Oreochromis niloticus: one gene and its partner. The protein of the gene in region 2 interacts with the protein of the main gene of each other region in a biochemical or structural test. Links are inferred from orthologs where the notes say so. Each region holds a gene or a part of one and is shown on either strand. Other genes may lie near its edges.

Evidence for each region.
Region 1: of the proteins of usp33 (region 2) and arrestin red cell, one has a biochemical effect on the other in vitro, tested with the Homo sapiens proteins (2 studies listed by BioGRID, with this or other methods). The link is inferred for Oreochromis niloticus from reciprocal best matches to the Homo sapiens genes USP33 and ARRB2.

Annotation. Positions count from the first base shown.
Region 1 is NC_031975.2:31,924,901-31,928,651, reverse strand, and holds the start of arrestin red cell, read right to left. Parts: upstream 2,673-3,751; 5' UTR 2,283-2,672; coding exon 2,260-2,282; intron 1-2,259. UniProt on the Homo sapiens protein: Functions in regulating agonist-mediated G-protein coupled receptor (GPCR) signaling by mediating both receptor desensitization and resensitization processes.
Region 2 is NC_031982.2:25,338,873-25,342,623, reverse strand, and holds the start of usp33 (ubiquitin carboxyl-terminal hydrolase 33), read right to left. Parts: upstream 2,639-3,751; 5' UTR 2,450-2,638; intron 1-2,449. UniProt on the Homo sapiens protein: Deubiquitinating enzyme involved in various processes such as centrosome duplication, cellular migration and beta-2 adrenergic receptor/ADRB2 recycling.

The DNA.
Region 1 (3,751 bases), on a different chromosome or scaffold from region 2:
AAAAATGTGGCAACAAGGGACAAAGTCAGTGTCATTTGTTGATCTGTGGGAGTCGCTGAGAACCACCACCAGACTTCTCTTACAAAACCAGCAACTCTTACATGAAAACAGGGTCGAGTTTATGCAACGCACCATTTCCGATATGACTAAATACATTAAGAACACCAAAGTCATGCAGCAGCAAGAACTAAGCAGCTGAGCGAGCTGTAAACAAGCAGCTCACGTGTTTTGTGACATAAAATTGCTGTTTTGTGAATGAGTCTGGTAAAGCGTAACGGCTTCACGTCCTTGACACAGGTGTTGAAGATGATCTCAATACAACAGCCAATTAAAACGGATTCTTTTAGCCATGCAAAATCTGACACACTGCGGTAAACAACTGGAAGCAAAGCGTGAAATAACAGTTTTCCTGAGCCGTCGCCTCTGAAGGAGAGGCTTTTTTGTCTATAATGTAACACACAGACAAAATATCAGGATGTGATCGGTTCTAGCTGGCTCATCGCTACACCTCACAGCCACACTTACTAATCTACTCATACAAAACTCAAGGAGAAGAGCTTCACGGCTGTCAGTACAAAAGGTGAAAGGTCAAAGAGAGAAAAACTTTCCACTGCTGGCTGGTGTTTTGCAAAGAGTCAAAGTGCCACAGAGCCACTCGACATGCAGCTTCGATGTATAATCTGTTAACAGCGGCTCGAGCGTGAATGTCAGAGAGACCCATTTCTTCAACAGCTATGACGTTGGTCTTTCCTCCTGCCCGTTTCCTCTCCTCCCAGTTTTCCACCTGCTTCCTAACAGGAAGTAACTGGCAGGAAAGTTAAGCTGCAAGTGGAATGGGCTGGGCTGACTCGCAACCCCCCGGTTAGAGGAAAATCCATCAAAAACAGCAGCGATGATCAGCATTTTATAGTGAAAAGCTGCTAACACATGAGGAAACGGATCATTTTTGTGTGCATGAAAGCTGTACATCCAACAAACCTTCACCTCACAGAGGAGAAACATGCAGGATGTGGATGTAAACAGCCTGAAGCAGTCAGCACTTTAACCTCATTTTCAGCAGATGGAGTAAAGGAAAGAGCTGAACCTGACTTTAAAGGCCCTGTATTCCTATCACATTACGACAGGACGGGATCTGATGAGCATAACAGTCATTCCTCATCATTAGTCTTATTTTTGTGTGTTGGATTAATGCAGTTAAGCCCTCTGGGTCTCTTCTGTTAATCGGGATCTGCAGAAGAAGGAATAAAGGAGAAAACATGGGAAGGAAAGCTGATCCACAGCAGTGCTAACCCAATTAACTGAGGGTGTAAACACACAAAAAAGGGAAGGGGGGGCATCCTGAGCTTTAAAGAAACCACAATCACTTTGTGTCGATGTGCTGTGCCTACAAACCGAGTGTATCGGCCCGAAACAGGAACCAGAACTCACAGATGCCCGAAAACGAAAGCTCCATTCTCTTTAAAATACATTTACAGCTAACTGGCATGAACCTGCGGTACCAGAAACCCGAAATAAGCCCGTGATGGAGGCAAGTGAACCTAAATAGCCCACCAATACGCTCCTTCGTACCAAATTCCATTCAAAAACACTTCATTTTAACATTTCGCCCCTGGTTAACGAGAATACACAACACTCTAATATTTTACGTTACATAAAAGCTGACTGTAAACATTGGAACTGAATCGAACAAGAATAAGCTCCATAATTTAAACAAATCTCAAGTTAAAATGCTGTTTTTCAGGTTACATGTCGATACCGCCCACTAACGTTTCAGCGGTATTTTACTGGACAAACACCGTGGGAATTCCTCTTTAAAACACCCAAATGTGGTGTAAAATCACCCGAATATCGTGCCGTTTTTTTTCTTTGTGTTAGAGTAAGCGGTGGGCGTTAACAGTTGATCATTTTTCGTGTGCTTTTCAGTCAGACGGAAACGTTAGCGTAATGTTGAAAATTGACAGATTTCTGAGCGGACGCTGGAACGCCGTCCCGTCCACCACAGCCGCGGATAGCTAACCCCACCCTGCTGTGCTAACTTCGCCTCCTGCGAACGAGGTCATCGCTCTGAGAGTTCTGGACCAGAACCAGAGGGCTCGCTCGCTGGTCCCGGCCCGGGTCTAGCTAATTAAGCGGGTAAATCTCTGATGCTCGGGCTGAGAGCAGAAACTCCTCCGCCTGGGCCACTAGCACGGCTGCTAGCAAAGTGCGTGAGAACCGACGCTAAACCGCAGCTAGCCGTTCATAGCCTAGCCGTCCTACCTGGTGCCCGCCTTGTCCCCCATCTCCTCTGCAGGCGGACGGCAGGAAGATCCCAACAAAATGAGGCCGGACTCGTAGGTGTCTTGACTTTAAAAACGGAGGCTTTTCTTCAGCCTGCTCCCCTCACATCGGCGCACAGAGAACTAGTTAGTATGGTAATTTGATTTAGCGCCGCCTCGGCTCTCCGCTGGCTTCCGCAAAGGCAGCAGCTCCCCCTCCCCTCTGCTTGTTTGTGCGCGCTCTGCTGTCTCTGTGAGGACCCGCTGCGAAATAAAACAGCAGCGAGCTAATCCAGCTGCTTTACAGGCTGACCGAGGGTTTACTGCTGCTTCAAAGTCCATTCATAGTTTGGCATAAATGATTCTTAAACCTGCGGTGCAGCGCAGACTCTGTGCTAACACCGGCCATTCAATGTTAAACAGAGCAGGAGATGATTCACATTAAACAGCCTGACATGTTTAAGGTTCACCGCAATCCAGGGCCGTGTTACCTACAAGGCTTCGGATTTCCCGGACCCTCAGGGGCCCCCAGGAGTCCTCCACATGAAGCAATACAGAAATCAGGGAGTTGCTTATCTTTACTGTAGCTGATGTTTTTTTCCCAATAACACACCAGAAAACACAGTATGACCAAAATTTACAAAACAGACTCCTATTTTTTTTTTTTTTTAAAAGACACAAAACAAGTAGCAGAGCCCAAAAACTCTGAATGACTTATTCCCAAGTCGTCTATTGAGGTCTTGCAGTCACATGATCACCAACCACATGGTTTTAACTTGTCCATCATCTGAGACATGATGTCCTTACAGACTGGTCTGCAACTGTTTGGCCACCACTGCTCAGTCGTGAGAGAAAAGTGTATTCCCCAACTGGTCAGTGATTGCTTTGGTTGCTATCGAGTTGCTGCAATCATCCGTGGTTTGCATGCAACACGCCAATGTGTCTGCAAAGCTGTGAAAAAAAGCAACACAAAGAGAAATGTCGAACATTTACCTTCAAAGTGAAATTTGTGCCTTCTGACACATATCGGCATGGTTCTGAGCCATCGCTTGTACTTTGAAGGCGACCCTTCTCTGGTTTGCACCAGATTATTTCAGGTTTCACCAACCATTCAGGGAATACATACTTTGCCCTAATGTGTATCACCTCAAATATTGCAGACCACTCTGGAGGAATGTAGACTGACATCATGTGACAAGCCTCTATGGGACTGGAGGTCTTTTTATGCAACCACAGTTATTGCCATCTGGTGGCCTTCAGGTAGAACACGGGTTTAAGACACGTGCTTCATTTTTCCAACCTGTTCTGCTGGGCTTCACCTCACCTTATCCAAGTCCCTGACCAATAAACTACACGGTTTCAGGCTTTACGGAGCAGAGCCCACAGACTAAAGCAGTGAAGTCACAGTGACTATGTTCAACCTTCATCCAGAGGCCACGGTCGGAGAAAAGCCTTCAGGGCTGCTCTTGAAGGAAGCCCTTTTTCACCACTGC
Region 2 (3,751 bases):
ATAAAGGCCTGCAGTAAAGTTCATATTTCTCCCAATCTCCTCCAAAGTTTGTTTAACACAGACAAAAACACTTTGTCACCAAAAATATTCCATTTCACTTTGATCTGGCCATAGTCTAAGTGATTTCTACCTCTCCATCATTAAGCTGTGGTACAGAATCAGGCGTAAACACACCGGGTTAGTTTTAATGTTTCTACAGATCCAGTTTAACATTTCAGAGCTCAAATGTGTAGCAGTCACGTTTTTAATAACTGTTGCGCTGAAAGTGCACTGAGTGACAAAATAAATATTAATTCACTGAGTCACAAAATAAATGACTTTCTGCAGTAATACTCTCAGCTTATTTGCAGAAAAGTTGTCTTTTTTTTCCATATCCTTTATAGACTTTTATCGGGAATTCCTCTGACCGAAGCAGGAGGCACTCAATCGCAGTCAAGTGAGAGTCGACAGAGCCTGAAGCAGAAAACCAGGGTTAAGAGAGAAAGCTGATCATTGTGATTCCCTCTCTCTGATTGTTTTTTTTTTTTTTTTTTTTTCCCCCATTTTACAGCCCACAGACAACAACAACAGTATGAGGGGGGGGGAACCCTCAGAAGTACACACAGGACATAGCTCCATCTCATCCGTCAGTGTTGTGGTTAATGACATGAAGCCAATTTTGTGTTTTGTTCCAAGTGCTGTTTGCACTAATATTACTCTTCGAGGCAGATGAAAGAAAGATGCACATGTAGATGCATCATTACAAGCCAGGCCGGATCATCCAATAGCCATTCTGGGCACAAAACCACGGGTCGACAATGCTTGGGTTACTATCCAGGTAGCACATAAATGTTTCCTCTTCAATTTTAAGTCTTCTTGTTTTTAATCACCCAAAAAAATATATAATAAAATACTCGGCGACTAAACAATTAGTTCCAGGTCTGTCTTTGAGCAGAAGATGGTAAACATTTTGAGTTCACGTAAGTAATTGAAAGCAATCAGTTTATTTCTGACAAAATGTGATCCCCAAAACTAGAACTGCTGATTCATCCATCATCTTAGCAGTGAGAAAACAATGATAGTCCATTTAATATCTGACATTAGATATCAGATATTATATTTGACAGTAGGAAGATGGCAAATATTTTAGGGTTTTTCCTGCTCAGAGTGGGCCTTTGAGGGACAATGCACATAAGCACAATTGCTCTGCATATTGTTAGACAAAAGAATTAACAGAAGTGTATGCAATTTTCAAACAAAGTTGTTAACATCATGTTTATCACAGTAAAGGTGGAAAGCCAAAGGTTTATTTATGCAAAAGAAACCCTGCATCTGTGTCTGTGTTTGTAGCGTCATGATCTGGTCAAGACAACAGGTCGACTGGGAGATAGGAAAAGTTCATGTTCAGTCACGTGCAAGTCAATAAGCCTGCTTCCTCCCCTCATCAAAACCGTCTCTAGGTCTAAGTTAATAATCAATGACGCCTTTGAAACTGATTTCATTTCATACCAACACTAAATCCCTGCAAAGTGAAACAGGGCGAGGTTTGGTTCATCTTACCAGGCTCCTCGCAATTGCCTGGACTTTGCGGCCATCCCTGCAAAAGCTGAAGTGACCTTAAACTCTGTAGTAGACACCAGGAAAATCTGATTAGAAGCTAGTTTCACTGTCAAGCCTCGTGAGATTACGTAAAGCTGGTGATAGGAAGAGTATCTCGGCTAACAAACCTTTCTTCGCACCGTTTCACTGCCTCTGCCAGCAACGTGACAATACTACATGATATTAAACTGTGCACAAAGGGGTGGCGCGGTCAGGGTGGGGCGTTAACCCGAACCTCGCACCACTAACGAAAGCAGCGATGCTGGCTGTGGCTGTAGCTGTTATCTTTAGGGAAATTTTGAAATGATAAGCAGCAACACAATAAACACCGGAAGACGGAAAAACAACAACAACAACGCATGTAAAGCTTAACAGCTCACTTTAACAACAGACTGTCTACAAATGGGTAGCATTGGCCTTAATATTAAAAAAAAAAAAAAAAAAAAAACTCAGTTAAAAAGGGCCATGTTTTAACTACCCTGGTTTAAAGCAGCGGGTGGTTTAGCCTCACGTAGATAAAAAAACGGTGAATACTACAGATGCGTGTGGCTTCGGCCTTGTACAAAGTGAGCTGTCAAAACCAGTCGAGGCGTTGACAGCGTCACGGGCTGACTAGCACTATTTCGCTGTTAACCTTAGCATGCTAACGGCCATCCTAAGAGCATTTTATCTGACGTAATACCCACAAGGAGCATAGAAAAACAACAAAAGGTGAACGTATTACCCTCCAGAGACAGTGTTTAGGTGAAATGGTTCGCCATTGATAGCCGTCTCGTGCGCAACTTACTGGCTAACGTTAGCCTCCTGTGATCGGGGACAATCCCACAGTGACTACGGCACAGTCAGCCGCAACGTCAGCCTTCGGCCTTACCTGCTCGGTACCAAGGGACGCCGCTTCTCAGGTGAATCGGATGGTACTCCCGGTCTGCAACATAAACTCAGTCTGTACTTAGAGAAACATATTAGAGTGCAGTCCTTTCTTCACATTAACGATAACCGTCCCTGTCGCTCAGCGTGGTTGCTAACGTTACTGCTGTCCCCGCCTCTTTTCCGGTTTAAAGAAAACATACGAGCCCTCCCCATCCTGCTGCACGTTTGATTTTTAATCCTATACGGTCTATAATTTTTTGTTTTTAACAGCATTATAGCCTCACTGTAGATTATTCAATTAGTAAGTCACATAAAAGCAAATATTAATTATCTTTTGAGCCTAGTGATCCGCTCTTATCAATATTGAGGATCAGATGTGATGGGACAGTTATGGACTGTTAGAGAAAAAACTAGCAGCGTCTTTAAACTTATTACAGTTCACTTACATGAAGGACAAAACGGGTAGCAATAAAGGAAAAAGAATGATTTGGTGATCATTAAAGACAACATGCACTGTAATAAACCCATCCCAAGCGCCATCTAGTGTTTTCATAGTGAAGAAATCCCCTCTGCAGGGATCCATCCACCCCAGAGTCACCAGTAGAAAAGCTCCACTATCACTATATCAGTGGCACCATCTAATGTCCCAAAATGTTCTTATAAATGGATTATAAACTTTAATGGGCGGTTATGTTACAATGTGATGCTCATACAGCTGGACTGCTAAGTATTTCAACTGTGTTGCTGTCCACTTCTTTTTGGCCAAGTAAATGATGAAGATTGTTATTATTATTTTACAGCTTTACAAAAATAGCAAAAAGCAAAACATGGTGATAGAAATATATGATTATATAATTGATTCAATGCAAAGATAATAACCCAAAAGGTAGAGAGTTATTATACCACCATGTTTCACACAGCATATTATGAATGAGAACAGATTTCTTAAAAAATAAAAATAAAAAAAGATTAAACACATACCAAAGAAAATAATACATTAAGAATAAATTAATAAACAAGTTAATATACATTTGGAGAAACTAAACCAGAGCAAGGCTGCTTTCTCTGATGGCATCAGCCCCAAAGTTCTATCTATGATCCCGAGTCTGTGTGACAAGGTGGCCTTTTGCAGCTGGATCTACAGTGAGGAAGACCAAAAACACACTCCTTTAATGCATGGCCTCTCCTAGAACCTTTAAATGGTGTCCGGACCCCAGGGAAACATTTGCCCAAACACCCTGGATAGGACAGAAAAGACAGGTGAGTAATCATGTCTTAACAGCAAGTTCTTTGCACCAACCTT